Linked DNA regions of Oreochromis niloticus. Each later gene encodes a partner of the first gene's protein in a complex. Links are inferred from orthologs where the notes say so. Each region holds a gene or a part of one and is shown on either strand. Other genes may lie near its edges. The genes, in order: phf2 and vrk1.

The links.
Region 2: the proteins of phf2 (region 1) and vrk1 are in contact, whole or in part, in a crystal structure (PDB 8F8Y), measured with the Homo sapiens proteins. The link is inferred for Oreochromis niloticus from reciprocal best matches to the Homo sapiens genes PHF2 and VRK1. Residues at the interface, in NP_005383.3 of Homo sapiens: Tyr7, Tyr14, Val16, Thr17, Arg18, Phe19, Met20, Ile21, Glu22, Trp29, Glu39, Ala42, Ile45, Asp46, Tyr48, Lys64, Tyr145, Ser147, Glu150, Lys175, Val178, Asp179, Tyr182, Ser183, Thr184; in NP_003375.1 of Homo sapiens: Pro2, Arg3, Val4, Lys5, Ala6, Ala7, Gln8.

The regions. Positions count from the first base shown.
Region 1 is NC_031970.2:37,169,045-37,185,916, reverse strand, and holds the start of phf2 (lysine-specific demethylase phf2), read right to left. Parts: upstream 8,896-16,872; 5' UTR 8,517-8,895; coding exon 8,419-8,516; intron 1-8,418. Other genes in the region: constitutive coactivator of PPAR-gamma-like protein 1 homolog, read right to left, coding at 13,076-13,393. UniProt on the Homo sapiens protein: Lysine demethylase that demethylates both histones and non-histone proteins. Enzymatically inactive by itself, and becomes active following phosphorylation by PKA: forms a complex with ARID5B and mediates demethylation of methylated ARID5B.
Region 2 is NC_031983.2:1,340,497-1,356,722, reverse strand, and holds the start of vrk1 (serine/threonine-protein kinase VRK1), read right to left. Parts: upstream 6,880-16,226; 5' UTR 6,730-6,879; intron 6,236-6,729; coding exon 6,076-6,235; intron 5,887-6,075; coding exon 5,831-5,886; intron 4,668-5,830; coding exon 4,598-4,667; intron 4,044-4,597; coding exon 3,956-4,043; intron 3,192-3,955; coding exon 3,083-3,191; intron 2,142-3,082; coding exon 2,049-2,141; intron 1,433-2,048; coding exon 1,300-1,432; intron 878-1,299; coding exon 757-877; intron 613-756; coding exon 530-612; intron 1-529. Other genes in the region: si:dkey-288a3.2 (protein phosphatase 1 regulatory subunit 37), read left to right, coding at 14,869-15,031, 16,015-16,115. UniProt on the Homo sapiens protein: Serine/threonine kinase involved in the regulation of key cellular processes including the cell cycle, nuclear condensation, transcription regulation, and DNA damage response.

The DNA.
Region 1 (16,872 bases):
ACATGCTGTAGGTATTACAGGTACTGCGCTGCAGTGGTTTGAATCATATCTATCTAACAGTCTCCAATTTGTTAGTTATGGAGTTCCACAGGGTTCCGTGCTAGGACCAATTCTGTTTACATTATACACAGTTCCCTTAGACACTATTATTAGAAGGCATAGCATACATTTTTACTGCTATGCAGATGACTCCCAACTTTAACTACTGTAATTCATTATTATCAAAAGTCCTAAAAACTCCCTGAAAAGCCTTCAGTTAATCCAAAATGCTGCAGCAAGAGTCCTGACAGGGACTAGAAAGAGAGAGCAGATTTCTCCTGTTTTGGCTTCCCTCCATTGGCTCCCTGTTAAATCCAGAATTGAATTCAAAATCCTGCTCCTCACATATAAGGTCTTGAATAGGAAGGCTCCGTCTTATCTTAATGTCCATATCACCCCATTAGAGCTGCAGTCTGCTCTCAGACTGCAGCTTTACTTGTGATTCCTACTATATTTAAAGGTAGAATTGGAGGCATAGCTTTCAGCTGTCAGAGCCCTCTTCCAGGTTCCAATTTGGATTCAGGAGACAGACACTGTCTCTTTACTTTTAAGATCAGGCTTAAAACTTTCCTTTTTGCTAGAGCATATAGTTAGGGCTGGATCAGGTGACCGTGAATCCTCCCTTATTATGCTGGAATTGGTCTAGGCTGCTGGGGGATTCCATTGAGTGTTTCTTCTCCAGTCACCTTTCTCACTCACTATGTGTTTATAAACCTCTCTGCATTTAATCATTAATTAATTATTTAATCATTCATCTTTGGCTCTCTTCCACAGCATGTCTTTTGTTCAGTCTTCCTCCCCTCAGCCCCCATCTTGTCGTGGCAGATGGCCCCGCCCCTCTCTGAGCCTCATTCTGCTGGAGGTTTCTTCCTGTTAAAAGGGAGTTTTTCCTTCCCGCTGTTGCCAAAGTGCTTGCTCATAGGGGATCATATGTTTTCTGTTTTCTTTATATATATATATTTATATTATTGGAGGGTCTACCTTACAATATAAAGCACCTTGAGGCAACTGTTGTTGTTATCCGGTGCTGTATAAATAAAAGTGAATTGAATTGAACAGTAATATACTGGAATGATGTGAGTCTTGAATGACAGATGAGACAATGAGATCTAACTCATATTATTCCTGCTCTTGCCTCACTCCTTCCACAACTGTCATTTACGTCTGTGGTGTCAGAGCTGCAATTAAATCTTAAATGTTCTGTCACCTGCATGCTCAGCAAATTTCCTCAGGCTTTTACTATGAAGCAGTTGCAGGATGTATTGATTTGGCTTGTGTTATGCGCAAGACTTGCTGACAACTGTTTCTGTACTATGCAAGTCCCCATACATCCAGCTATGTAAAGCCGGTGAGCTGTAGTCCTGTTTTAACTCTCTGTTTAGCTTTAATAGAGCATTTATTTTACCACAGTCAATCCAGCAGTAAGAAGTTCATATAAAGCTATTGTACAGCAACTCCCCAGTACCCAGTGTGGCCAGAAGGGGCCTTCCCCTGTGGCTAGTGTGGGAATGACACATAATGCAACTGTGGTTCTAAGCAATGACCACAGCTAACCATGGTTTTAGTTAAAGCTTTAACACAGTCAACCCCAGGACGCACTGATGAAGCCATTCTGTGAAAGAAGACATATAGTGTAGTGTTGCTACACTTTTATATCATAAAGCAAATCTTTACAGGTGGCATGTTCTTGAAATCAAGTCTCCATCACCAGCTCGCAGAATCTCTTTTCTTACAGTGCATCTAAATATATAAACATATATTTTTATTAGGTAAAGTGTCTGCCGCCGTGAGGATAACATCTATCTAATAAGCAGAATAATATTTTGTGTCTTGTTCCATATAATAAGTCACACTGAACATCGTCCAACAAATTGCAGATTTGCTGCAGGGCATGTTATATATTTCAATAAGTTAAATAAAGCTCAAAGTCATCAAAACCTGCTTTTAGTCTTGAGACTTGTTTGCTCTGAGGAAAACTGCAACCATTTGGGCACCAGTTTAGCTTAGTGGGTCAGCAGGCTGCTACATACCACATGACCAGAAAGCAGCGGCACAGGTTTGAGTCTGACCCGGCGCCTTTTGCTGCATCTTCCCAACTCTCTCCCTCTCCGCTTTCCTGTCTATCTCCACTGTTCCTATCCAATAAAGGCAAAATGCCAAAAACAATTATATATAAAATTTCAATCATTTAAAAAAAGGGAAAGAGATGGATTTCAAGGGCATTGGAGGGCTGTGTAAAGTCGGTGTGTGCCAAGGCAGGGAGGAATGATTAAATATGATAAGTACATGTATATACAATCATGTTGGCTAATAAGTAATTGCTATTAATTCATCAGATTTCAAGAAGCTGCAGATAGTTGCTAAATTATCAAGTTGCCATACATTCTTTATTTAATTTATAATGCTACTTTATGCTTCACACTGCTGAAGCTCCTAACTCATTTTCAATGCTCTGTGTTCAATGACAAAGATCTAATCAGAAAATGTTTTTTAAAAAGTTGGCAAATAATTATTTGATGTCCTGCTGAATTTGTAAGTTTGCTCACTTACAAAGAAATGAACAGTCTATTTTTTATTGTGGCTTTATTTGAATGGAGAGAGACAAAATATCCACTTAAAAATCCATAAAAAACACATTACATAAAAGTTATAACATGATTTGCATGTCATTAAGTGAAAAAAGCATTAGAGTAATTGGTGAAAACAGTAAGAACATGTCTTGTCATCAGGCTTCTACATATCTCTGGAAGGATTTCGCCGCTCTTCTCCTGTGTTAGACTCTGTAAATCCTTTAGGTTGCTTGGCTGCTGCTTGGCAACTCAAAGCTTCAACTCCCTCCACAGATTGTCTATAGGATTGAGGTCTGCAGACTAGCTCTGCCACTCCGTGACCTTAATGTGCTTCTTCTTTAGCCACTCCTTTATTGCCTTGGTAGTACCCATCTGTGACCCATCTTCAGTGCAGAGGGAAGGAGGTGCACGTCCAGGACTTTACATTACATTGACTCGTCCACTGACTTCTTAATGCGGTGAAGTCATCCTGAGCCCTAAGCAGAAAAACAGCCCCAAAGCACTTGACAGTTGGTATAGTATTCTTTGTGTCATACTCTGCATTTCTCTTCTTCCAACGCTGATGGGCTGAGTTCGTTTCATCTAACCATAGTACTTAGATTGATAGCACTGAATCATTGAAATGTTCACTGGCACAGGTTCACTGGCACAGGTTCACTGGCACAGGTTCACTGGCACAGGTTCACAGGCGTGTACATGGGCCTTCTTGAGTGAGGGGAACCTTGCAGGCACCGAGAGACTTCAGTCCATCCTCATGAGGCAAGATCTTGTATGGCGCTCCAGACTGAGGGCAATAGATGGTCATTTCATATTTCTTCCACTGTCAAATAATCGCACCAACAGTTGTCACCTTCTCACCAAGCGTCTTGCTTCCAGGCTCGTGCAGGTCTACATCTTGTCCCTGATGTCCTGATAGCTCTTTGGTCTTGAGCTGGTGGTGGAGAGGTTGGAATGGAAGAAATTGATTCTGTGGACAGGTGTGCTTTATACACATAAGCTGAGGTCAGGAGTATCTGTAATTGATTGATTGATTGTAATCTGTGTGCCCATGTGGCATACAACCAATCCTTCTGGATCAAATACTTATTTCACTCAATGGCATGAAAATCAGTTTATAACTTTTATGTGACATGCTTTTTTCTGGATTTTTGGTTGCTAGTCTGTCTCTTTCCATCAAAATGACAATACCATAAAATTTGAGACTGTTTGTGTTTATAAGTGGCCAAACTTACAAAGCTATTTCCCCCACTGTAAACACAAACACATGATATCCCTTTTCCTTTCCCTAACCCTTTCCTGATTTCTTTCCATTTGTTTAAGATTGTCATACTAATTTAAACATTAGACAATGATAACACAAGTAAATACAAAATGCAGTTTAAAGGAAAAATGATATCCAAATCTACCTGGTCCTGTGTGATAAAGTAAATGCCTCCTATATCTCATCACCAATTGTGCAACCATTGGTAGCGAGAACTCCAATCAAGCATTTGCAATGACTGACAATGAGTCTTTCACAACGCTTTGCCTCACTTTTCTTTGTAGAGTTGGTTTAATTCAGCCACATTGGAGGTTTTTCAAGCATGAAGGACCTATTTAAGGTCATGGCAAAGCATGTCGACAGGACTTAAGTTGGACTTTTACTAAGCCACTGTGTATTTTTGATCTTTGTCCTGCTGCACAACCCAGCTTCATGGAAAGAACTGATGACACTCTCCTTCTAGATTTTCTGGTAAAGAGCAGAACTACACTACCATCACACTACCACCACTATGACTGATATGATGTTCGCATGATGTTCTTTTTATGAAATGCTGTGTTAGTTTTATGCCAAACATCCAAAACCCAAACTTTTGTCTTTTCACTCCACTGACACTATCTGAGGTAAGTGACCTTCTGGATGACCTGTCGATACACTCATGGAGTAATTCTTGTAGGCCAAAGACACACATGTGTTACGGATGTCCCTGCTGATTGCTTTGCTACTTGTTTAAACACACTTTAAATAGACAAAGTTCAACATTGTCCAAACAAATACACTGTGTGTATTTTAGTGGCTATATGAAACCATTAATTATCTTCCCTGTTAAACAATTCATGTTTTAAATGTCGCTCAGTTATGTAACACTTTGCGCTGTGTATAACTTTGCAAACACACACAGTGTCAGATTAGTTTTTAAAGTCTAGCTAACCCCAGCAATGCTAGCAGCCCTAGCCTTGGTTTCTTCAGTGCTGGTGTCCACACATCTTGGTGCAGAATGTGGTTACACCTGGTTTCAGTTGCTTAGCCTTATTCCAGTTTGACTGCGTAAAGTAGAATAGAATAGCGCTAGTTAAGACGGCTGTCCTCTGTTTACTTTCCCTCTGCTCATTTACAACTTCACTACACCATGTAAATGCAGCTGTATGGTTAATGCCAGTGTTTCACTCATTCACACGCATTAACTCACCATGGCTGCTGGTCAACGTACAAATTCAAAGTAAAGAACGTTTTTTTACTAATTACCACAAGCATAAAGTGAATTCATGCAGCGCCAAAATAACTGCAAACGTCTTTTCAAGTGAGAAGAACAACTGCTCAAAATTGTAATAAGGTAATATATAATATGTATTACAGTATTAGTTTAAACATCATTTACCAATACCTGATAACAAGTCAAAACAAAACAAATATTTTGTTAAGACAGCTTTTGTTACAATTTGACGGACTTTAAATACATAAATGTTGGTGTTAAGCAACATATCAGTTGTCTTGGAAAGGAATGGCCTTGTATATTTATATAGCATTTATTAGTCTTACTTACTCAGAATGTCACAATACCAAACATTTTGTAGTCAGCACCAGTACAAAGAGAATTAGATGATTTCAGCCATAATTATTTATTAAAAAGTGATTTAAGCCACTGACATGGTGTTGATAGACCATTTGTTTAAAATGTTAACATTATATTCAGTTGACAGAACATAGACTGAGATGTTAGGATGATTGACAGGCAGCCTACTGACATTCCTATAAGACAACATTAGTTACGTCATGTTAGCTTCAGCATTTATATAATGTTAGCCACTGCAAACATTTTAGCCTTTGGATCACAACTGATTTTACAACAGCAATGACAAGTGTCTCAGACAAAGTGGTAAAATGTATTTCGTGATAACAACACAAACTACTTCCTGAAATAACTCTTACGGCCCTTCTTATCATTAAGTCAGGGCAGAGTTATTGTGGCAGCTGCACTAGTTGCAATCTTTTGCTTATAGTTTTTGCTGTTCAGTGTGTTGTTTTTTCTGTGCTGGTGGGCATGTTGCATTTTCAGAATGTTGGTATTCTTTTATTCTACATACTTGAACACTCGTCTAGTTCACATCCATGGGTAAGAAAACCCATGCAAGCACAGTGCAAAGATACAAACTGTAAACAGAAAGGACCTAACTGAGGTTTGAACCAGTTATTTTTCACTGTAACAACATGTGTTCTAAATCTTTATTTTTACTTTTTTTTCTCTTTTATCTAACAACTGGTCACCATCTCCTGAGAAAAATATTCCAACTACTGCTTTTTGGATAAGGCATCACCAGCTAGCTTTGTCACTAACTGTGGGTTTATTGTAGCTTATTTGTTGAAAACAGCTGCTTGCTTTTTGTATAAAGGGTTGATAAGTGCAGTGAGACTGAAGCCAGGTGGTAAACTGAGCTCCCACGAGTATTAATAATGAACTAACACAGACTAAACCAGTGGCTAAAAAGGTACCTTCCTCAATAAAGGCACTTTTATTATAAGGTTGATTTTTTTAAAAAAGTTGCCATTTTAAAAATTCAACAAGTCCAAGGCTAACTAACTTGGTTTTGTTCATTTAACATGAAGATAAAACAGAAATGTACAGTGAAAACCAGACAGTGTGGTTTTAGGAGCAGTTAGCGTTTGAACTGTTTCCTGATCAACAACAGCTGGGTGCCATGACTGCAAGCAGCATCTCCAAAACGCTGTCCTGAACACTGCAGTGACTCAACTGTGGCCCAAACCAAAATGACTACAGGATATAAAAACGAATGCATAAAGGTTGTAGGAAAGTAGAGTGTTGTCAGACATGGCAAAGCTAGGCTGCTGCAGCTCTTTGTAGAACTATTGTTTCTGACTCTAACAGCCAATGTATATGTGATACCTATACATGTATGGATCACCATGTGTACAAGTCCCTGAGGATTCAGTGATCACTTAGAGGATAATGATTAGATTTTGTTTCTGTTACATCACATCATGACGTGTGGACTCATGCTAAGACTGTGAATCATAATTATATTGATGATACATGTGAACTTAACACATCCGCTCCTAACAACTGAACATGCACATGAATATTATTTTAAAATGCAAGTATTTATCAGCGGTCTATCGCTAATATTAATTTGCGAAGAAATGCATTACGCGGTCCAACATTTGTTAAATTTTTAAAGGGAACCTGATGTGTATAACCTGATTTATTCCTCATGATGGTCCACCTCAGGGGCCTGAATAATTGGAGTGCCAATGTACGGTGTGTGCACATCCACTTTAAATATACTTATGGTTTGAAAAATGCAGTTGCTCTATTTTTATCAGGATCAAAAACTTACAGAATGTGACAGGTAAGTGAAAATGTGAGATGCAGGTAATAACAGAAGCAGAAATACGATGTTTCTGGTTAAAAAGGGGGTGTGGGGAGAAAACATGAATTTTGCTGGTGGTTTGGCTTGTAGGTCTTGGACTATTCCCATCCCTTAATTCTCGAATGATTTAGACAGTGTGACACAGACGGTGGGCAGCCGGCGGAGGAACATTAAAGGGTTAACGTTCAGGCGCGTAAATACTGTTCAATGCTCTGAAGGGCTTGTTCACCGAAAGAAACGCGATTAACAAATGACGGGTTAACAAAAAGACAGGCAGAGAGCAGCCGAACAGCTCTAAACACCCCAAAGCAAAGGCCAGTCCAGACACAGACTCGTGTAAGAACAGATATAACGACAGCAGGCAAAAACGAAAAGATGATAACTGGGATTTGGTTGAGACCATTACAGTGTGTGTACGGCAGGGAAAGTGATGAGCAGCGGCGGGCGATACGTTTCGCACTATACTCGGGGAGACGTATGAGCTAACAATCGTAGTCTACAGTAGTGACAAACCAGTCAAACGAATACTAATAATTATTTCCCTTCCGCTGCTGAAGCTTAAGGACATCCAGCACGGGCTATTGTCAGCCATAGCTGCCGCCTGGCAGGAAGGCTGCGGGGCTGAGTTCGGGAAGCTCGGACTCGAGTCGTGATTTTCCACCGCGCTCGGTTAACACGGCCGGTGAAAACTGGAGCGACTCGAATGTGAGAATATTTCACAGCAATACGGGCGAAATGTTGCCCTTAACGTGTCTGGAAGGACGAGCATTTGTCACAAAAATGAGCGGCGAGTTTGCGGAGGCTTCCACCGCTGTCGTCCGCTCCTTACAACGGGAAGGCAGGCTGGGGCTATGCGGGGATGTTAAAGAGCCGTTAAGTGCAATTAATAGCCGAAGCTCACACCAAAATCCTCCCATAAACCACCGTATTTATTCCAATAAGGGAAATCTGTTTTGTGTTATTCGCGAAAAAATGTCACAACCCCGGTCGGCTATATATAACTCCGCCTTCTTCTTCTTCTCCAAGCGGCCTCTCTTCAGATGTAGACGGGCGACTGAGAGCCACAAAGCTGTCAAACGCAACCGAGACCTCGCCATTTTTGTTTGTTTCCCACAAATGCAAACCGCCCCAAAATACAGTACGGGGAACAATCGGGACTTACCTGCCGTGGAACCAGTCCTTGCAAGCATCGCACTCGATCATAAACTGGGTCACGTCGTAAGGTAATCTGCAGATGCAATATACTGGTACAGTCGCCATGTTCAATTCACAACTACGTCGGGATAGACTGGGGGGGCTGCAGGAGGAACAACGTCCTGCAAACAATATGATCCAATATGATCTTCCCCAGAAAAAAAGCCAGGGGCAGTCCCGCCGGACACATGAACCTAAGCGCACAGCTCCATCACGCCGCGGCCGGGTTGGCGTTTGTGCGGGGAGCTAGAAACGATGGAGGCTCGTCGTAGCAGGCTTTCCTCAAATGCATTATTATTGTTATTATTACTATGTGCATGCCCCCTGGTGACTGCGCGGCACCGAAGCGCTCATATTAGGAGCCACAAGAAAATGTAGTCTCGATGTCGCTGCGAGGTAAATAAATAAACAAATGTAAGTTACGTCAGGGAGCAGCTTTAGATCCGATGAATGAGCGTAAAGATCGATCTAAAATGGACCTGCGGATGTTTTTTCCCTGTAGTGGAACGCTCAAATGCCGAGAAATAAACGCTTTCTGTTCCCAGACAGTTTATTGTTAATCGATGAATACAATTTAAATACCGTGTTCATAGCCTCCATTAGGAAAGATATAATTGTTTAATTATTACATAATCTGTTATTACGAGATTACACACTATTTCTCTACATCATGATATCCTCTCTATAATACAGTTGTTGTTGTTGTTATTAGTATTATTATTATTTTTACTACATTTCATGTATTTGGAATTTAATAATAATAATAATAATAATAATAATACAATTGCTATTAATAATAATAATACAATCATAAAAATATTTCAACATCATCTCAGCAAAACAGAATCGAAATCAAATGACATTTTGTAATAAGGTAGTTGAACTATAAACTTACGAGAACAGCTGATTCCATGTTAGACACATGTTGCATTCTTCACAAGTCCACTGCGCTTGCTGGCTGATTGATAGAAAACCAGCATGAGGTTTTGTCCATGACACCAAATCTCGGTCTGCACGGTTTTATGTATTAAACAAGCCATTTTGCAGTGGTGTGAAAAAAAGTTTTCTCTATGCAGCCTCACCTCTATGAAAGCAGAAGAAATTCACCCCCAATCAAACCATGTAATCTTCAGGGAAATTGCAAAAAAACCCCGCTACAGTTAGCATGTTAAACATGTTACATTTAGAAAAAGACCAAACAACTATGGCTTGTCTGAAAGCCTCTTGTCTCTAAAGAGAACATGGCAACATGGCTTTGGTTTGCAAAGTTGCATCTGAAGAAACCAAAAGATTACTGAAATAATGTCCTTTGGATAGACAAGACCAAAGCGAAGAAGTTTGCCCAAAAATCCAACACAGCATATCAGCATAAATACTGCATACCATCTGAAAAGCACAGTGGTGGGGATGGGGTGATGATTTGAGCTCGTCGTGCAGTCACAGGAACTGGGCACCTTGAAGACATTGAGTTGACCATAAACTCCTTTGTATACCAAAGTGCTTAAGCATCAAATATGAGGCCGTCTGTCCAAAACCTAAAGCTTGGTTGAAGCTGAGTCATGCAACAATACAGTGATGTCAAGCACAAATCTGCAACAGAATGGCTGGAAAACAAAAGAATCAAGGTGTTGCAGTAACCCAAAGTCAAAAACTCAGCCAAACTGAAATGCTGTGATGGCACCCTAAGAGAGCGGTATATAAATCAATGCCATCAAACGCCAATGAAATGAAGCAAGGTTGTAAAGAAGAGTGGGGCAAAATTTCTCAAGAACGATGTGAGAGACTGATAATGGCATACAGAAAATAATTACTTGTTTTTGCTAAAGTGCTTCTACGAGCTACTAAATCATGGGATGTGTACTAAGGTTTTTCCATAGAGTCCAAAGAAAACTTCCTTTTTCTTACAGCTGTAACTTCTCTCTCTCTCTCCCTCTCTCTCTCTCTCGAAGGCCACCCTACCTTTATCCGGTCTTTAAGTCTGACATCATTAGCCGTTTCCAGGTCCAAACTCTGCTTCAGGTCCCAAAGTCAAACGGACACTGCGGCATCAGAGAGTTAAAAACTGTCTAAATTCTTTCATCTTTAATAAAATGATAACTGTGGCTGATCTACCAGGTGTAACAATAAAGTTTAACATCCAGGCATCCATGAAAACAGAAAGCATGAAGTTTAACGGAGTTAGAAGTTAGCACGAAACTAGCTCGCTAGTTTCAATCTAAAGCTGATACAGCATGTTCTGACTGAGAGATTTCAGAAACAATTCAAACAGACAGCTCTGCTATTATATACTGATGGTATATAATGATGTGCTATGTGGTGGCTAGCTACACAGCTATGGTTAACATAACATAAACACAGTGAAGCTGGAGGATGAACGCCAACTTTTTTCCATTCGATAAAAGTTAACGTGAGGGTTCCCGATGGTTAGGGACAAATGCAATCGCATGGCAGGATGCTGTAAACGGACCAAACTTCAGTCAGGAGAACAACTGAGATAATCCATCCACAATACCAGGTTAGTCATTAATATACTGCTGCATGGGCTGGGCTGTAGTTACATCGGAAGGTTTTAAAAACTGAGGTTTAAAACATGCTGCAGATGAATAGTGATAATAAAAACCGAGAGAGACCGACAGTGATCACTGACTTTTTTTAGGGGCTTGGTTCAGATTAAATAGAACAAGATACAAAGCTTTAACACATGTTAAAAACACATCAGCCTTAATAAATGCAGAGTAGTTTGGACCCGGAAGCAGGATTCATCAGGTCATCACTTAAAGACTGAATGACAACTTTGTTTGACACACAGAGCTGTGTGGGAGATGACCACAGTTTGCGGTCTCTTCTCTTTCACCCAACAAGTAGTTGCAGCATACGGCTGCACCTCCCCAGGTCTATTTCTGACAGAGGTTTCTTCCTGTTAAAAGGGAGTTCTTCCTCCCCACAGTTGCCAAGTGCTCACTCTCTGTTCACTTTCTAATATTGTGGGCATTTTTGGATCACATGGTAAATACACTGACCTTATTATTTGAAACTTTGGCCATGTTTAATATGATCATCCACTGCAGGACAGTATATGTATGATAGATAATAAGGTAAAGTACAATAGGCAGCTTCATCCTGGGCATCATCCATTCTCTCTGTGGTACCCAGCTCTCTTCCCTCCTATGATGTTGGGAGGTGGGGGAGTAAGAAGTGTGATATTGCACCACTATTCTTGTGCCACTAGCTTGCTAGCTTTTGCACTGTATCTGCTTAGCCTCGCAGAAGACAGGCAATGGGTGTAGGTGCAGAATCTTTCTTTTGACTGTCATTTGGATATAAAAAAATAAAAATTCTTGCAAAGTTAGCAGCCCACCACATTGTTATGACTACATGTCCCAGTGTTAAGAGAGATCAATAAACCACCAACAGTGTGTACTAAAAGAATATAGTTTTATTAAGCATTGTAGCTAAGTTGCTTTCAAGTACACCACACCAAAATCTACGAACATTCAACCAAACCCATCAGCAGTTCATTCTTTTACAATCCAAGAGTTAGGCGGAAACTCTGATCAACTTACACAGAAGGTAACCCATTTAGCTCTTGCGAGGGGGACTGGGGGAGGAGATTACACCATTTCTCCAATCACTAGTGGTAGATGAAAAGCTTTGGCAGTATTAAGTGAAAACATGAAATGATGATTCTGGTGAAGAGGAATTACAAGTGTATAAATAACACTAAAGGAAATCTCCCTAATGATTACTGGTTAATGGCCAAAGTTTTGATTTAAAGGTGGAGCACGCTGCCTTTTAGCTACACAAAGGGTGAGCTTCATTTTTTTGACTAAAACAGGAAAGAGTAACAGAACAATATAGTATGAATACACTACTCCAAAGTGGCTAAATAACTTTTTTTTTTTAATGCAACAGAGGTCAATATCACAAGAAGATTCCAGGTTAGAACAACTACTTTTTTGGACTTTTGTTGGTATTAGACGTTTCATTAATTTGTAATTGGGCACCGGGAAGAATGGAAGAAAAAGGACAGCATGCATAATAACTACACACTGGTTAGACTGCGAACCATGCAGAAGATTTCTATCAAAGTGGTAACACTACAGCTCTACATCTTCGAGTACAGCTCAAAACCCCAATTCAAGTTTTCTTTTTTTGCGTGTGTGATTCGAGAGCTGTTTCTCGAGGCGTTACTTACAGTTAAATAAGCGAAACAGCGCGAAGCTCATGTCTAGTGAGGGACAGAGCTGTTTAAACATGAACACAACTCAAAGTGGTGATGGAAGCACAAGATTATGCCTCACTTGTTTCACTGAGCGGTTACAATGATAACACAAAATCCATACCTGCAACACGGTAAGTACTAGAAGCAGGTCAAACATAGATGAACTCATATTTTCAAATTAAAGCGTCTTCAAGCAGTAACCTTCTGATTTGAAGTGACAAGGGAGTGAGTGACTCCACGTTACCGGTGTTAGGATCTCGTGTGTTTAGAGAGAGGGATCCGAATTACATCTCGTTTCTTTGTGTGAAAAGAAAAAAGTACAATGAATGTAAGCTTTCCATATTTCCATGTGTTCCTAACCTTGCTCCATGTTTCATCCTTCACCCTCTCTAGAAAAATAGGTTTAATCTTCTGTTGAGACAGTGGCCTCTAGACCTTCATCTCTATGGCAGCCACTGTCTACATTTAGTGCATTTAAGTGAGGATTAGTATTGCACGTCTTGGAGTCACTGCTAAAGGCACTTTCAGGTTGGATGAGAGCCCCACATTCCTCTCTCTCTCCATTCAGCTGCTCTGGCTCCTTGTCCTCCACACCGTTCTCCATGGCTAAGCTCTCACCGTGCTGTGCAGGGGAGGATTTCTTTTCCTCCTGCTTGGGCTTCTTTTGGTCCTTCACTAGGTTGTTTCCAGATGTTTGAGCAGGCTTGTAAGCAGGCTTGCTCTGGTAGACAGACAGAAAAAATGACGGTGAGGGTTGCAGACTTTATCATCCACCCATTTTTTTCTATTTATTGCCATTTGGACATGCTGCCTATGCAACATGTCCAAAAGGCAAAGCTCTAAACAGGAGAAGTGTAGGGACAAAATGCATGGATTACACTCCATCTGAAAGGTAACACTGTCTGCAACTTAAACTAGTTATGCTAGAAGAGAAAGCTCAGCAGCTCGCAGTCATGTAGCTTGCATAAAATATAGCAAAGCTAGAAAGGGAACACGATTGGCTACAGTGACTTAAAATCTTTTAGGAAAAAACAGCCATTTGGTTCTTTGATCTTTAGACTCTTACAGACTAAACGGATAGAAATAACTGAGGTACATAATCTGACTGCTTCAAAAGTGAAGTCAACCCGTGTTTATATATTGTATTTTGCCTAACGTGTTGTCAATGATGCACACTGACACTTGTGAAATGAAGCAAGCTGTTAAGTTTTGCACAGTCCAATGGCTCTAACCACGTGAAACATCTCCATATTGAGAAAGGTTTAAATACTATAAACTGCTTTCAAATAGATTAAGCAAGTAGAGCCTGTGGTGTGATGGTCATCAGCTATAATATGATATTTTTTAAAAGCTGTAGATTTCTTAGTTTGGTAGGTTAAAAAAACATCTCACCATTGTTGTTTATACTGGATTTATATAGTGCCTGTTCACACCAATGGTCATCTAAAGAAGAGCCTATAATATTAAGAGAGGGAGCAATCCAATGATCACCTGCACATGGCAAAGGTAGGGAGGAAAAACTCCCTTTTAACAGAAAGTGGTCTCTAACAGAACTAGACTGCAGACAAACAGCCATCTGCCACGGCTGGAGAGAGAAATATGGAGTACAGAGAGACCAAGAGAGGTGAGGAAGATCGATTTTGGAGACAGTGGCCCTGACAAAAAGACAGGAGGCCAAGCTGAAGACATTAAGATTTTCATCGGGAGTGACAGTTCAGGAAGTGAAGGAGGACATACAGCGCGGTGGTGTGACAGGAGCAGAATGATACGGACAGGCTGAGATGGAAGCAGGTGATTGGCTATGGCGCCCCCTAAAGGGAGCAGCCAAAAGAGAGACCAAGAGCAAAACGCAAACTATAAGATAGAGAAGATATCTAAAAGAAATCAGCAGTTTTTGTGAGTACTTGGACTACATGCATAAACTTCAACAACAGAAGTGCTGAAAACAGATTTGTTGGTCTTCAGAAGATTGTCATTTTATTTCAGCATTTTTCTACTCTTTACTCAGAAAATATCAGACAGAAAATATCACTGCCATTGTTTCTTTTAGATGATAACAGTCAAATACAGCCTTTTTTATACTGGTAGAAATGATGGTAGTAGATGTTAGATGGCAGAAGGCACTGTGCACACAAAGTGATGACCTTCATAGGTCAGAAAATATCTGAAACATTGAGAAACACCGAAACAATGTAATTAACTCGTGTGTTTTCAATGGTGTGATACAGTAGAAGAGGACATTTAGAGCTTATTAAGACCCACATGTTACAAAAGTCAGGACTCTTTGAAAATCATGTGCAGCATAGCGAAATGCATTTGTGGGTTGGAAGTCCTGCCAACAAACAAAAGGACTCAAGAGTTATTTAGAAGTTAATTAGCAGCAAAATGAAGCCCAGAGACATGCAGGGAGCCTGTTTAGTTCCCTCTCATGTTCCCATGCTGAAAGCTCACACAATGGTTGTGTTCTGGTTTTGCACCATAATTAAACAGTGGAAAAACCAACAGCTGCATCGGGATTTTTGTGAGGTACCTTCCTGGGAAAGCAAACTACAGGCTGAGCTTCAATTTAGGGATTATTAATTTCTCTGGTACCAAAATCCACGTGTGACAAACACTGTGAGAATTTCAGACACTAATGATCATCTTGAAGATTAAAGCTTCAAATGGTCGATGATGGTCAATAACCAATGATGGCAAAAGTGGGTTTAGGGGTTAGTCACTATTGCTTTGGTCAGTATTTTAAACTAGATTAACACAATTACTTATTAATGTAAACATTCAGGTTTCAAACTCATAAACAAACCTTTACACTGGACTGTAGTGCAGTGTGTCCTTCAAAAAGATGAGAAAACTGAAAGCAGACAGAGATCTAGCAGTGGCCTGACAGTGGCCTCAGCAGAAGGGTGGCTGTCAAGAAGCCATTCTTAATTAAAGGAAACAGGACGAAATGCTGGGCTTTGCCACATTACACAAGAGCTGGACTGAAAATGTGGCAACAGGTCTGATGGAGTGATGAATGAAATGTGAAATTTTGGCCTCAAATCGCTGCCTGTATGTATGGAGGTCAGAGGGGAACCGTTAGGTCCATACATATTTGGACAGAAAACTTTTTTTCTAATTGTGGTTCTGTACATTACCACAATGATGAAGTGCTGACCTTCAGCTTTAATTCAGTGGGTTGAACAAAAAGATCTTAACACAATCCCTTCATTTCAGATGCTCAAAAGCAACAGGACAGATTGAATAACTGAAAATAAAATGTTCATTTCTAGCACTTGGTTGAAAACTCTTTGCTGGCAATGACAGCCTGAAGTCTTGAACTCATGGATGAACTCAGATGTTGGGCTTCCTCCTTTTTAATGCTCTGTTGCTGTTACTGCAGCGGCTTTCAGTTGCTGTCTTGTTTGCGAGCCTTTGTGTCTGAAGTTTAGTCTTCAGCAAGTGAAATACTCTGTTGGGTTAAGATCAGGTGACTGACTCGGCCATTCAAGAATATTCCACTCCTTTACTTTAATAAACTCCTGGGTTGATTTGGCTGTATGTTTGGGTCATTGTAAATCTGTGTTATGAAACGCTGCCCAATCAATTTGACTCCATTTAGCTGGATTTGAGCAGACAGTACGTGTCTGAACCCCTCTGTATCCTCCTGTGCTACATCATCAGTAAACACTAGTGTCCCAGTGCCACTAACAGCCATGCACACTGCCTCTGCTGTGTTTTACAGATGATGCGGTATGCTTTGGATCATGAGCTGTTCCACACCTTCTCCATACTTTTGTTTTTTTTCTTCAACTCCAGGCCTTTTATCTGCTTAACTGATAATGACATGACAAAGGAAATGCCCACAACCGCCAGTGAAATAGCTCTTTGAGTCAACTGTCCAATTACATTTGGTCCCTTTAAAAAGAGGGTGGCACATGTTAAGGAGCTGAAACTCCTAAACCCTTCATCCAATTTGAATGTGGATACCCTCAAATGCTGAGAGTCTGCACATTATGTCGATAATATAACTATAGCTGGAACATGTTTCAGTAAACAGGTGTCAGTGTCCAAATATAACTGTACAACAGTTAGTGTCTGTCTGTTGTGCTGGGGATCCTGTCTGGATCGATGGAATCATGAATCCAGAGCAGTGTTATTGTTTCTTTCATAGATAATGTTTTATTCTGCGCAGTCCCTCCAAATAAAATAAAATCATGA
Region 2 (16,226 bases), on another chromosome or scaffold:
AAGGCAACTTTTAGCACAGTTGGGCAACAATGTTGCCATTTACTGCCGCAGCTTGTGGCCTGTACTTCTATCCCAGTGAGAGGTCAGGTGGTCACTGCTCAAAGGCAGGAATTACATCATGTTAAAAACACATGAGAGCAGCCAGGAACGGACGAAATGAATCAATTCACACTTTACTAATCATGCTGCTGTAACACACAAACCTTATCAAAGAACACTAACAGTACTGATCATAGCTGACAACACAACTCCAAGGAAACTTAAACTCCTTAAAGACTGTTAAAATAATGGAAAGGTAAAATGTTCGACTAATCATGAACTTGATATGATTTGAGGTCACAGCAGTTTCAGACTGTGGGATTATGCAGGGCATTGTGGTTTTCACAACCAGATTAAAACATTAGTATTCATGATGTGACAAGTGTAGAAAGTCTACAGTATATGAATAATACGGTGAGGCACATCAGTGTGAAACAGCTCAGCGCTGCTCCATCGTAGCCACAGAGCCTCCGCTGTGAGTCTGTCTCACCTGGTTTGTCTTGAGAGGAGAAACACTTGGCCATGAACTCTGTTATGTTTTTCTTGACTCCTGCAGGTGAAAACGTTAGACAACTTTCTTTAATACACATCAATCTGTGTGAACTGTACAACACACAACAAAAAATGTAAAAAAATAAAAAAGTATTGTAGAATTGTATAAATGGCAAAGTGTTGCTGACTGTGGAGCACCCAGGCTGGGTACTGTGTTTCTCATACCGGATCTTGGAGTCTCTGACGTACAGCGGGTCCTGCAACTTGTCCTCCCAGGGGAGCCGACCACACAGCCACTGAACCATGCAGTAGGACAGGATCTCCAGGTCGCTGCGCCTGGACACGGCTGTTAGCAAACACGATGTACGTGGCAACATTAGCAATATCAGACACTTATGTACAGAATACCATTCAGGTTATTTCCATGTTGTATGAGATGAGGAATATCAATCAGTATCAGTCTTGTTCTTTGGCATACTTTAGCTTGAGTAACAACGTCTGTGGCTGAACACACAGTAGACTCAGTACTACGACTGTGGCCCCAAAGGCAAGTCAGTCCCAGCCCACTGCCGTGTTAAAGTGCTCTGACTGTACAGGAAACAGCGCAGCTGTTCCAAACTGTCCTCACTAAAATGGTTTGAAATCTGTTCACATTGATGTTCCTGTTCATGGTTAAAAACACCAGATCCTGCTGACACTTTCAGATTACCACTCTGGTTTTGTACGCCATGTTGGGCGTCATGACTACTCGCGTACGTTTGCACCTACATGCTCCTTTGTGGCAGTCGATGCTTGTGAACTCGATGGTACCATCGTGACATTTCTTGGGGTCTTCCTTGTACTCCTTGGGCCGACCTTCAGGTGCGTACCTATAGGCCAGTCCATAATCTACTAAGTAAACCTACAGTTGACAAACACAAAGATTCAGGCATGCACACACATACACAGTACTTTATACTAATCCATGTTTTACCAGTGTTCACTGACTGTACACAGACACGGGTCAGGATGAAGGAGAGCAGGAGAACACACGATTTCAATTCTAATTCCAGCTCCATAGCACTTTATTATTATTCCTCAGTTTGCATTGTGCTTATATTCTCTGTGGCTTTAATAAAGAAATGTAGAGCAATAAAAGCAAACCTACATTCACCAACTCCGAGGAAGAGCAGGAAAAACAACCAGAGCCAATATTAAAATCCTGAGGGGCTGATTTCTAAATTGTCATTTATAAAAAGCTCCTTAATAACACCACCGATGATACATTATTAATCTCCAAATTAAATATTTGCCCCTGCCCCCACCTTATTTGCAGCTCTGTGCTCCTGCCATCTAATCTCCCCCGTCTGAACACTCTCGCTTCACCTCCCCCCGTCGCAAAAGCCTAATTGAATCTAATGAAGCGGTGCGAGTGTGTTCCAACCAAAACCAGGCTCCTCCTCCTGCTGATGCACGGGTCACAGCGGCACTTTGTAAACAGTCATAGTTTCAGTCAGCACGCTACAACTCCAACTGACCTGGTTAGGATCGCTGTGACTCAACATGAGGTTAGACGCCTTCACATCAGCGTGCACGTACTCGTGCTCGTGGATGTACTCCAGAGTATCCAGCTGCACAGAAACAAATACTCCATCAAATACAGAGTACAGATACATCTGTAATGTAGCAAGACCCTAGTACAAAGTAATCACACTAGATGGTTTAAATATAATGTGCCGTTTGGCCACACAAGAAGCTGCTCAGCCCGTCATCACCTCACTGAGCAGCAGTCACGTAAAGCCAAACCTGTGATCACATTAGAAGGATTTTATTAACAGTAACTTGATTCATTACGTTCAGTTTCAGAACATAAACATTTGTCATTTTTAGAGGGGAATGTAGCCAGGCTGAGCACCAGAGAGCACAGAGGTGAGTCTGACCAGAAACAAAGTTTCACTTCCTCCACATAGATCTTAATAAACTAGAGCGAACAGGGAGACGCGCTCCTATAAAAGAAGAGGCAGCGTGGGATTTCTAACAAGAAAAAGTCATAGTAAAAGGCTATTTTACAGTCTATCCAGTGTCATTGTGACAAATCTTACTGGACTGTGTAAACAAATTACTTCATTGTTGGCATTTTCAGGCAAACAAAGGATTTTCGATCGGAAGCACAGGTGCAGGAAATCTGCTGATGACGTTCGCTTTTCCGTAAAGCGGTGTCAGATTACACACACAGTTTCAGCAGCTTACTTTAAAACTCTACCTGAGCAGAAACAATCATTCCAGGATGAACCGGAGAATGCTTCTGACCCACAATCATTAAAACAACTGAAAATACACTTTTGTTTCTTTTTGGGAAAACCCATTTCCTCCCCTGTGCATCACTAACTCTGAGGATGAAACCACTTGTTATTCAATCCTCATCATCAGTTATTTTCAGTTTGCGTACAACGTTCATCCTCAGGATGTTGGTCATTCCCCATCACACATTCTCTTTCCTGTGATCACCGTGACCTGCTGTTTACAATGTAAGTGTTTCAAACTGAAACAACTTCATCATGACATAACCAACCAGTCGAAGGCCGAGCTGCAGGACCAGCTTTCTGGGAAATCTCCTTCCACATTCCTCAAATTTCTTCTGCAGGTCTGTGCCAAGTCTGTCGATGACCATGAACCTGTAACTGGTTGGTACAGAGAGCTGTGTTAGCAGAGCGTCAGAAAGGCTGCAGCTTTACCTGTTACTGTGAGGACAACAAAGCTGTTTCACTTTACTTCTTATTTGGTGTTTTGGTTTATCTAGCTTCCATTAAGACATTAACACACAAAAAAAATTAATAAAATATTAAAAAGTTAGTTGTAAAAGGTGTAAACAGGGAGATTAGCTTAAATATCTGAGTTACATAAGTGCACAGAGGAAGTCAGGAGGTGTGATGGAAGGGCTGACGATAGCGCTAACTATGTGACCCAGGCGGGACCAAAGCTGATGCCTTATTAGGCCACGGGGGGGGGGGGGGGGGGGCTCCCTTATGAAACCAGTAATAAGTGCTACTACTGAGAACCACTACATGGTATCAGGCAGTGCCAAAGTAATCCACTGAATGAGTCAGAGTGAGGTCTGTTATAAAAGGCAGAGACCTGAGCTGGGCAGGGAAAACAGAAGCTCTAATCAGCGTAATCATGCCCACCTCTCCTTTAAAACTGCGTGTGTAGCCATGTGACTCCATCCAATGTGCAACATGCAAACATCATGGAGGAAAGGTCAAACACAGAGTTGATGCACAGCTCGAGCTGCTTGCACCAAATATAACTGCTGAGTCTGTAGTTTGAACACATTTCTCACATGTCAACAAAAGAAGAACCTGAACAACTGAATGTCACATAGATGGAGGAGAGATGGGCTGCATCATTACAAACTGAGATTTGTCCCCAGCACTCCCACCCTTACCTTTGACCCCCTCTCTCATGTCGACCTGAGCCCCAGTACCGGGGCACGCCCAGGTTTTTCAGCTTCTTGGACTTCATCCAACTCTGAACTGCAGGGCAAGAGTAAACTTATCAGACACGTACATATTTGACTAAAGTGAGCTTTTAATGTGTGCATACATGAAATCAACAACACAGGAAGTAAACTCTGAAAAGCCTGGTGCTGGTTTAAGTGGGTGATGGATGTGAGACTCAAAGTAATAAGAGTATAATTCAGTGGGGGAAAGTGGCCAATATGGCCGCGAGCTAATCTGCTGCTGGGACAAATATTTACCAACAACGTGAGACTCCAGCATGAATAAAATATGAGGCTTTGGTTCCTTAGTCATATAACAGTTAATCGTCAGGGGAGACTGACATTTGGATTGTTATTATATAAAATGCAAAGCGGTGGCCCGAGGGCCGGCGGCGCTGCCACCAAACGCTTCCTTTCCTTTGTAGGGCTCCTCTGAGCCCCGGCTACAACACCATCTTTTAATTAAGAAACTTGCCTCTCTTTTTATTTGTTTGCCCTGCTGGTGAGACTCTTGTGTTATGATCGCAGGGCTAACTTTGGTTTGCTGACAGTATGAGTGTATTTATAGTGTCTGATCATGTGACTCACTGAGATCCGGCTTGGCAGCTCTCATGTAAAATGCGAGCTCGCAGAAAAGCGGTCCATTGTCAATAGGCTCCTGTGGACAGAACAACAGGTACATTAGGTCTGCAGACCCACAACAGCACACTGGGTTGTTGTTTTCACCCTTAACAGGCAGGAAAAAAAACGAAACACAATTTTCTTCTGTTTAAACATTTAAAAAACAAACAAACAAACAAACAAACAAACAAAACTGCAAAAACTGGTTGTGTGTTTATGTGTTTGTGTGTTTAAATCCAGGTTCACAGACTGTTACATCTCTGACAGTTAGGAGCAGGGCAGCCCCACCAATCGGTCGTGCTGCAGTTTGAATAAAAATATTTAAAATATTCAATAAAAATGTTGAATAGCTTCCATCCACAGTTTGTTTCAGACAGTGACAGCACAAATAATTAGAGTTAAAGTTAGAATAAACACTGTATAGGAAGACCTTTACATTTGGCCCACAACAGCCATCACGTCACTTTTTAACAGCAACACCTGCAGCGTGCAGATGTGAGCCTGCAGTGGGCTACAGCACAGTGGATCTGACGGCGCTTTTCTGTCCGGTCTCTCCTCACATCTCGACAACGATTTGAACCAAAAAACGTAAAATTAGGATTCATCGCTCCCTCAAATGTTGCCACTGATTTTCAGTTCAGATGTTGGGTAATGTGGCATCCCCACGCTTTTCCTCCCCGTTTCTCCTCCTTAAGAATAGAAACAGGGAAACAGTCACAGTGCAGAAAGTGCCTTATTGGCTGCAACGTTTGCACTGTGATCACTTCTGGTGAGACTTTAGTGACCAGCAACTGGACAGAGCCATCTGACAGGTCCAGGGTCAAGGCCTCAATATATATGCTGTGCTGGCTGCATCACTGCAGTTAGTGAACAAATAAATAAATCAGACAATTCTCAGAGAGTCAAATGGGAGAGACTTTGAGCCTGATGAGTCTGCACATTCGAGCAGAAAAGCAAGTCAAACAAGTCCTGTCAGTATGTGAATTATTTCTGGACTTAATCCAATGAACTTATGTTGCCAATTAAGTCTTAACTTTTGATGGGCTTAACTAAGGTGGAAGTGTTATAGAATAAAAATTGATATGTCATAAAATACAAAGTACTTCAGGTTGAGTTGGCTTTTGTAGCTACTTTTCTGTGAATAAAGAAAAAAGTATGTAAAGAGTAATAATGCCTGGACTGGAACAAACTTAGTCCTACCACTTTGATGACATAGCGAGCATCAGCACCCACAGGCTTTGCAGAATTTTCCTCCGCTGGGGAAAACATAAGAGGGAATATGTTCATTATTTACAGTATTTGGTTGACACATGCTTAAAATCTTTATTAACTTCTATTAAATATAAAGTTTGCAACTCAAACTCAGATGTTAACTAGAACTAAAATACAAATAACATTGTCTTTTATTTTACCATGACTGTGTCACTAGCATCCTGTGTTCTTACCCAAGTATATGACACCAAAGCCCCCTTGACCGATCGGAGCCCCCAGCTTCCATTCCTTCTTCATGGTGTCCTTCAGCACTTCTCCAGGAGGAAACTCCTCTGCCAGTTTCCTCTTGGCAGGGGCTCTGCCTCTGCCTGCCGCCTTGGCTTTAGGGGGCATCTAACACACACACAGCCACGGTGGTTGTTAGTGCTGCTTCATCGTGATGGAAGCAGAACTCCAAAATAAAACTAAGCTAAACATCGTTGTAAACACAACAAGAAATGGAAAATTGTACTTTTTGGGTCACATTAGAACTATGTTTTTATCTGTACCGAAGTTAGCTAACCACATCCCGAGTTCCCCATCACCTGCTAATGTGTGCAGCCTATACGAGACACTTCCCTAACACGAACCGCCTGTTAGCATGTGGGTTAAAACCAACAGAAAGAGAAACAGTAAAGTGATGGCGTCGTGCGAATCCTGCACCTTTAGCGGTTCTTTCGAGGCTCGTTAGCTCTCATGCTAACTGCGTGGTTTTGTGAGTAACCGTGTGTCACATTAGCGCCTACATGATCTGCTACATGACGCCGTCCAACAGCAAACGCTGTACCCGAGTACCTGTGATTGGTTCCGTTAGTATACAGATATATACATCTATGACAAAAACATACCGTCACTTCGTTGTTTATGCTTCCCTGTAGCAGAAACTGTGCATGGACCAAACTTCCCGCAAAACTACCGGTCAGGAAGTTACGTCACCGTACCGCGCTATTTTATAGAGATTGACAGACCACGTGACTTTCGCGCATTGCATGTTGGGTACCCGTGGCAACAAAATCAAAACACTGCATCAAGCGGTAGCATTTCCAGCACCGGTAATCATTAATTCTGCGGTTTTAATCCCTACTAGCATTTTATTTGCCCCAAAAACAGTTATGTACAAAACGAGGGAGAACACGGCAGGTCCGTACAAAGACAGACTTGACGAAAAGACAACAACAAAAAAAAGGACGAGGAAAAAATCAAAGGAGTGAAAGGGTCAGACCCGTACCAGCATACAGAGCGGAGTAAGGACGTCAGCGTGCTGCCCAACTTTCATCACGCACATATTTATTATTATATGGTCCTAAGTGTGAGTGCAGACACTCACATGATGTTTAGTAACTCAGATCCCTGCAACAAGCCCAGGTCCAGTTTACTTTGGTGATTTGGACTATTCCATTTCACAGCTGTTGTTACATTCTTTTCCTTTATCTCCTGTACAGGCAAACGCATCTATTTGTTGTTTCAGGTTGTAGTATTACACAACATTTTCAGATCTAATAGAAATAACATGAGTGTTTCGTAATTCATTCAATTTATTGTCTTTATTTCTAACTGGCATTATTGTTTCATTCTATTATAGAATCTTACAAGAAGGAGGCAAAATTGTAAAAATCCATCATGCTTTATTAGCTGTTTCGGTGAAAAACAACAATGCAAAACAACATACTGGAAAACAGTTATTCATCACTTGATTGCTTCAATACAACCCTTGGGCACATATATGCGGGACGTTTCGTGGCTGTTTTGATATCGCTCTCTCTCTTAACCGATCAAATCTGGCTGTGGTAGCAGCTTTAAACTCGGTCTGACCCAGGGTGATAGAGGGTGCAAAACACATGAAAACACATTTTCAATGAGATTGAAAATGTGACGTCAGTGAAAACACATGAAAACACATTTTCAATGAGATTGAAAATGTGACGTCAGTGAAAACACATGAAAACACATTTTCAATGAGATTGAAAATGTGACGTCATTCCGGGGTGAAACCGCAAAGGATTCTGGGAATGCTAGGCAAGCGGTACTAGCGCACGCAGGCTTTCACATGAAAACAGTCACAAAACACAAAAAATGGCAAGAAGCTGTTGTATTATTAACTGCAATAGCCGGTCGCATGACAGCCATGGGAAGCCAACGGGTAAAGAGATTGTTTTTTATCGGATTACGTCGTGGAAGAGAAATTGTTCAAGCCATGTTTCCGAAGTAACAAAGAGTAACAAAGAGCCGACGGATGACCTGGAGCGGGGGAAGTCGCTGCTTCACTACTGTGTGAACAGCGATGTAGGCCACATACGGCCCACGTTGAACTGTCCTTTTTGTTTATTGTAAAGAAGTTTAAATACACATTTAATCCCTGCGATATCTTAATATATGAAAGATATAATATAAAAATATTTTAAACATGTCTTAATATAAGAAAAAGTTTTCAACAGCAAGTCTATGTTCTGCATTTCTGCTGCAGTACATGAAAGAAATCTGCCAACATGACTCCTGTGGGTTCAGTTCTAATAAATAAATATGATCCGATAGCTCAGACTGTCCTGTAAATATAAAGCAGAAAGTTTTTGTTAATTTACAGAAAATGCCTTTTTTTTTAAAATGTGGAACCATCATCCATTCATCCATTATCTTCTGCTTATCCTCGATTGGGCAGGTCTTCAGTACATGATCAACTATCAGAGCTGTGTTATTAATTTCTTATTGTTTTATTATCAAACCATGGACTAATATGTCTTATTGTGCCATTTAGTTAAGTCTGAAGGCTTTTGGAAAAAAACACACATTCTGTAAATTTATTTAATTTTGTAAAGTATAGACTTTTACCTTGATGTTGAGGTGTTGTCATCATTTTTATACATAGCACCGCATTTTCAGATCCTCAAAAGTATTTGGAAAAAACAACAACAGTTCAATGTTAGGGCTTGTGTGTAATACTTTGCAGTCAATAACTCCCTAAGGTGTAGAACCATGAGTTTTGTGATTGCTTAAGTCAGTAAAAGGTCATGCAAAATCACTTTTTGTCTTTATAATAATGAAAACATCTTCACCACACCCAGTTTATAGGCACTGCAGATATATTAGAGTAAAACACAGGCCGTGCAGTTCATAGTTCAGATTGTATATATTTACACCTAAGTGATTAAATATATATGCTTTTGTCTCCATGCACCATAATGTTGTGTCCCACACATCCAGCTACACCAGTACTGCTTCATCATAGCAAGGCATCTGGGAGAAACAGAAGGGAAAAAGTCATATTTCCTTGGTTAAGAAGAGCATTCATTGATTTCATTACTGACACTGTATCGCCCAATCAAAAGTCTTAATACCTCTCCCCTACTTTCATTATGTGCCTGTATAGCAGACTTTACTGTGGAAGAAGTGGATGATAAAGATGAACAAACAAAAATGAAAAGGTGGCACTAAAAAGCTAAGAGAGAAGACAAAACTACAAAAAGATGCAGCAAAATGTGTCTAATTAAGTGACTTGTTATCTGTCGTGGCTGCTGCATCGTCAACAGTAGTAACAGCAACAACTAGTAACAAGTGCTCACAGGCTGAAGAAGCTACTGCTGCTAGTGCTGCTAGTTCCCTGTGTGGAGAAGTGCAGCAGTCCTAACTGCTATGGGCTTGAAGTTGGCCTCAAGTGTTGTCACATCCCCATTGAGTTCCTGATGAAGGCATTCCAGGATCCAGGTGTGAGGAGTCATAGGCCTTCTTGTAATCAATCCAGGCAGAGCACAGGTTGGTCAGCCTAGTCTTGCAGCCTCGTCTGACTGTTCTTTCTACTAGTCAAATCAAATCAAATCACTTTTATTGTCACGTCACATGTGCAGGTACACTGGTACAGTACATGCGAGTGAAATTCTTGTGTGCGAGCTTCACAAGCAACAGAGTTGTGCAAAAATACAATAACATAAGAACAAGCAAAATATAAGAATGGCTAAATCTGAGAGTAATAAATATATGTACAATATAAGAGTATATCCATTACTGGATGTGTATACTAAATATGTTTTTCTACATGTGTGTGTGTGTGTGTGTGTGTGTATACATATTTTACAAATTAAATAGATTAAACAATAAAATAAAATATATAAAATATACAGAGGTTGGTAGTTGAGACATGTACAAAACAAGTGGCATTTATATACAGTATGGAGTGCATAATGTTGTTGAATGTGGGTGAGGTGTCTATGACGTGTTCAGCAGTCTGATGGCCTGGTGGAAAAAGCTGTCTCTCAGTCTGCTGGTACGGGACCGGATGCTGCAGAACCTCCTTCCTGATGGAAGTAGTCTGAACAGTTTATGGCTGGGGTGACTGGAGTCCTTGATGATCCTCCCCGCTTTCCTCAGGCACCGCTTCCTGTAGATGTCTTGGAGGGAGGGAAGCTCACCTCCAATTATCCGTTCAGCACACCGCACTACTCTCTGGAGAGCTTTGCGGTTGTAGGCGGTGCTGTTGCCGTACCAGGTGGTGATGCATCCAGTGAGGATGCTCTCAATGGCACAGCGATAGAAGGTCCTGAGGATGCGGGGGCTCATGCCGAATCTTTTCAGTCTCCTGAGAAAGAAGAGGCGCTGCTGCGCCTTCTTCACTGTTTTGTTTGTGTGTACCGACCACGTAAGATCCTCAGCCAGATGTACACCAAGGAAGCGGAAGCTGCTCACTCTCTCCACAGCAGCGCCGTTGATGGTGATGGGGGTGTGTACTTCTCTGCACCTCCGGAAGTCCACTATCAACTCCTTTGTCTTTGCGACGTTGAGGGTGAGATGGTTGTCTTGACACCAGTGGGTCAGGGCGCTGACCTCCTCCCTGTAGGCCGTCTCATCACCGTTGGTGATAAGACCCACCACTGTAGTGTCGTCCGCAAACTTCACAATGATGTTGGAGTTTCTAGTGGCCGTGCAGTCGTAGGTGTAGAGTGAGTACAGGAGAGGGCTCAGTACACACCCCTGTGGAGCACCAGTGTTCAGTGTGATGGGGGATGAGGTGATGCTGCCCAGTCTGACTACTTGGCATCTGTCAGTCAGGAAGTTAAGGATCCAGCTGCAGAGGGAGCTGCTCAGTCCTAGATCCTGCAGTTTCCTGTCCAGCTTCGAGGGAACGATGGTGTTGAATGCTGAGCTGTAATCTACAAACAGCATTCTCACATACGTGTCTCTCTTCTCCAGGTGTGACAGGGCAGCATGGAGTGTCAGGGCTATGGCATCATCAGTGGACCTGTTGTGGTGGTATGCGAATTGTAGAGGGTCCAGTGAGTTGGGTAGTGAAGAGCAAACAAAATCCCTGATCAGCTTCTCGAAGCATTTGCTCACGATGGGGGTCAGGGCTACAAGTCGCCAGTCGTTCAATGATGAGATGGTGGAGGATTTGGGTACAGGGACGATGGTGGCCATTTAGAAGCAGGCTGGGACTACAGACAGAGAGAGGGAAAGGTTGAAGATGTGTGTAAACACTCCAGCCAGCTGAGCCGCGCATGACTTGAGGACGCGGCCGGGGATCCCATCCGGACCAGTAGCTTTGCGTGCGTTCACCTTCCTGAAGCACTTCCGCACATCCTCCTCAGACACAGTGTGTGCACTGACGTCATCCGCGGTGCGCACACTGTCCGGTCTCATGGTGTTCGCTGTGTTGAATCTAGTGTAGAATACGTTTAGATCCTCACACAGAGAGGCCGTGGTCTGCGGTGTGCTGGTTTTCCCTCTAAAGTCTGCGATTGTGTTTAGTCCCTGCCACATACTCCGAGGGTTGAATTGAATTGAATTGATTGATTGAATTGATATACCTTTATTAGTCCCACAAGGGGGAAATTTCATAAGGCTGCCGACCTATTGCACGCAATGGCGGCGCCATCTTACCCTCCGACCATACATACATTACACAAAACATCACATGGGGAAGACAGGTCAGAGAGGTATACATGGAAAAGCACAACATGAGGAAAGATAAGGAGAAAAAAATAACTCCCCCCAGACTGAGCTCCAACAGGGAGATCAGTTTGAGAACAGAAAAAAACACCTCTGCACATGAAAAAACTCTTAATACACCAAAGAAACACATGACAAGCAACAGGGGTGGGTAAAGGGTGAGAGACAGCCAATGTAGACAGTACATCCGGGCCTGCAGCCTATGCGCTGGTCTCCATGATCCACCGTCAGCATCGGAAGGGAATAAGCGTCGAAGGCGTTTGGAAAGGGAGGGGGGATGAGTGTGTGCATATCAGTGTATATGTATGTGTGTGCGTGTCCAGAGTTCAGCTGAGACAGTGTCCTTCGCCCTGCCAGGCTAAGTAAACAGTCTTCCAGCCAACCCAGGTGGCCTTGCATAGGATAGGAAGGAACAGACTAAACATAGTCTGTAATCAGGGTGTTGTTGTACAGCTCCAGCCTTGCAACCGCAGCTGGCGCTGAGAAGGTATCCGCATGAAGTGAAGGTGCTTTTTACTTTAGTGCGAACAACTCATATGAATTTCAAAGCAGTTCTACAGTCCAACACTGGTCTCTCAATCTCCCGTTGGAGAGCCGCGAGCTTCGCCATACTTGCGTTCTGTGAGGTTGTCATTCTTGTGCTCAAGGAGCCGATTCTGAAAAACTCACGACAGTGTGCCTCCCCGAGATGTCATCCAATTTACGCTCAGAGATGTTATGCCGAGCGAGCCCTTCCGAGATGTAATCCAGTCTGCACTCAGAGATCTTATTCTGAGTATTCACAGCAGCCGTAGCCTTTCCAAGATCTTATCCGTGCTGCACTCAATGAGCCCATTTTGAGAAACTCACGCCTCGTCCCATCATTTCAATCCCAGCGGGCAGCCTTGTGGGGGTTTGAACAGCCGGTTCCGCTTCCTTAATTCTTCGATAAGCCAGGGCCAAGCCAGCTCCGATCAGCAAGAACCCTGTTATCATGGTTCCGAATAGGTAGAAATCTTCAGCAGTCAGGCTCACCCAAGCCCAAACTTCTCGTTAAGAAAGGGGTGTCAATTGCATTCAGAGACCAGTTGATCAAATCCATAATTCCTCTTTTAGGTTTTAGAAAACAGACTGTGAGAGATTGTTCCAGGGAAAAGTCATACAAAAAACACAAGACTAGACAAGGACATAAGAGGCTAAGCAGGGAAGCTAAGGGAGAGGAGGAGGAGGAGAGGAGAAAAATGCGACCGCCTTCGTCAAGAGCGGTCGCATTTGTCAAACTGTTGCTCCACCCTGTCCCTGTACTCATGTTTGGCTGCTTTGATCGTCTTCCGGAGTTGGTAATGTGCGTGTTTGTAGTCCGATGTGTTCGCGGAGGCAAAGGCGGAGCTCCGTGCTGCCAGTGCCGTGCGAACATCTCTGTTAATCCAGGGTTTTTGATTTGGGAAGGATTTAACTGTTCTGGATGGGACGACATCTTCCACGCATTTTCTGATAAATCCGCAGACTGAGTCCGTGTACTCATCAATGTCATTAGCAGCCACGTGAAACATTTCCCAGTCCGCGTGATCAAAACAGTCCCGCAGCGTAGACTCCGATTGGTCCAACCAACGGTGCACCGCCCTCAGTAGCTGGTGTTTTGCGCCTCTGGTATTCTTGCCCATCCCTTTCTGTGCCCCATTCATGTATTGAGCCATGTGCCTGTTCATCTTAGCCGCTATGATGCCTGACAGGAGCTTCCATGTGATGCTGAGGCAGGTTATTGGTTGGTAGTTGGAGGGGACCGGTCCCTTCCCGGGAAGAAGCTGTTCTTTAGTCTGTTGGTTTTGCACCTGATGGATCTGAACCTTTTTCCAGAGGTAGGATGTTGAAGAGGTGGTGGTTAGGATGGAGGTGGTCCTTTATAATTGCTCTGGCTCTGGAGAGACATCTTGAGCTGGAAATTAAGTCCAGGTAGGAGAGTGGACAGCCAATCACCTTCTCTACAGTTCTTATGACCCTCTGTAGTCTCTTCTTGTCAGCTGTTGTGCAACCAGTGTACCACACAGTAGAAGAAGCTTCACCAGGGCTGATGTGTTTGTGGTCCAAGATAGGTCCTCAGATATGTGGGTGCCGAGGAACTTAATAGAGGATACCCTCTCCACATAGTCACTTTTATGGAGAGGGGAGGGGCATCCATTCTTGTTTTGTTGGTGTTTAGGGTGAGTTGGCCTGTTCTACAGTTATGCTCTGTCCAGGTCCTTGACAGATTGTTGTGCTGTAGCTCTGTCACACTTTACTGTACTTAGCACAATAATTAGAGTGGCTGCTGCACTTTAGCTGTTTATTTGCAATTCTATTAAGAGAATTGTGTGTTTCTAAGAAATGTTCTCTGTAAGAAAAAATTACTCCAATGAAAAGTTCATTCTTGTAACTGTAACCCTTGAAAAACCATCATTAGAGAAGCTTAGTGGGGGCTGCTGTAGAGACGAAGGTTTCACGTGTTTCAGTGGCTGTTGCAGTGTGTTGTGTCAGGTTGGCTGTGATACACCAGACTGTTGTCTCTGAACTGTCTCCACAAACTGCTGCTTCTGTTCTTTGTTTGTTTTATTCTGTCTTTTAAACATTATCAGACAGTTTACAGAGACAGACACTTCAGTGGGAAACTCAACCAAAGTATTTAGATAACTAAGAATATTTGATCAAACGTGGTTACCTCGGTAACTTACCTGTGTTTGTCTTATCCAGAACAACCCTGAATTTTGTAAATGAATCTGAATAGGTATGTAAATGTGCAGAGCCTTACCTGTTTTCAGTGTGTCATTTGATCCAAACATATTGGGTAACAGTGCACAGCTCATGAATAAGATATTGGTTCTTCAGTGTCTTGTGTTTCCGAGCGCCACAGACTGAAGACGTTTCACGTTCACGAGGGTACATCGTCACTACTTCACTCTTTTATATTACCAGAAGTACTTCAGTAGCTGCTGTCACAGCTCCATGGATAGCATGTAACGTGACCGGCGCTGGACTAACCATTGGCCTTCTATTACAATAGAGCGCTCCATGCTGCAGTCCTAAAGTAAAGAGAGGCGATGACCAACTGCAGTGATGATGATGATGAGCAGAACGATGACAGCTCAGGACAGCCCAGAATGAAACCAAAGAGGACAAGTAAAGGAGGAAAGCATGTGTGCTTCCCTCCGGACGAACAGCTAGTGTCCAGCTTTGCTGAGCATGGGAACGCTGAGAAACTGGGTAAGCTGCTGTGCAAGTGTCATGGATGACGTTCAGTGATGGTGGAAGTGTAGTTCTCACTTCCAAACCTGATTTAAGCTCTTAACATCTCATTAAAAATGTCCACTACATGTTATTTTAGCATCTTAACATTTAAATGACGTGATCAACCCATGATTTCACTAAAAGAAGTAAATTAAAGAATTTTGGATCATATTTGAGATTTTGAATCAACGATTTGAACGTATTTGTTAAATAGATGCACCTTACATCATGTTAACAAGTTACTCTTATTCTGTCCTTGAAAAAGCATCAAACATGTAGCAGAAAAGCTGAACTGAAATCCAGTCACCAACTCAATGTATTATTTATAACAATAATTTTAGGGATTATAACATGTATTATAAAAATAATTTGAGGGATTTTGCAGGAAAATAATATTTGAATATTTTCCTACATGCCTCTGTTTGCTGCTGTGAAGAAAAGCATTAGTAACACCTGCTTTTTTTCTTTATTTATCATTATTTTGAAGCCATTTTAATGGGGACTTTCTGTGTTCATGTTCCTCCATATTTCCCCTGGACTCCACACAGTAGTTTTGACTTACCTATACTTGGTGCATCCACATTAGGGGTATCCACAGGGATTACCTGTGCACACTCAGACCTCAGTGAAGAATCAAATTTTGTCTCTCACGTCAGCTGGATATAAAGCTGTGCTTGATGCATTAAGATACGTCATTGGTTGATTGATCATTCAGAGAGTGATATTCATGTCCTTCTCACTGACAGTTCCCTGCAGTACACACACTCACACACACACACTCACACACTCACACACACACACACACTCACACACACACACGCACACACACACACACACGCACACACACACACACACACACACACAGAGAGAGACTTAGCTTAAGTACTTTTGAATGGTTGCTTTTGCTCACTGAATGCAGAGACATTAAGGCAGTGAATGAGCAGATTCTCCTGTTTCAGCTGACAGCAGACTCACCTTCACAGAGGTGTCGCTGGCCTATCAGGACAGCTGCAGCAGACATCAGGTGCAGCCCAGGGAGCGCATCCTGCAGCAGCTCCAGGTATGCAGCCTCACGTCAGCTCCTGATGGATTCAGTCAAATGCAGCAGACACGTGTCTTTGTTGGTTCTGTTGTTACACTCTTGTGTGTCTGTTTTCATCTTTGAATCTAG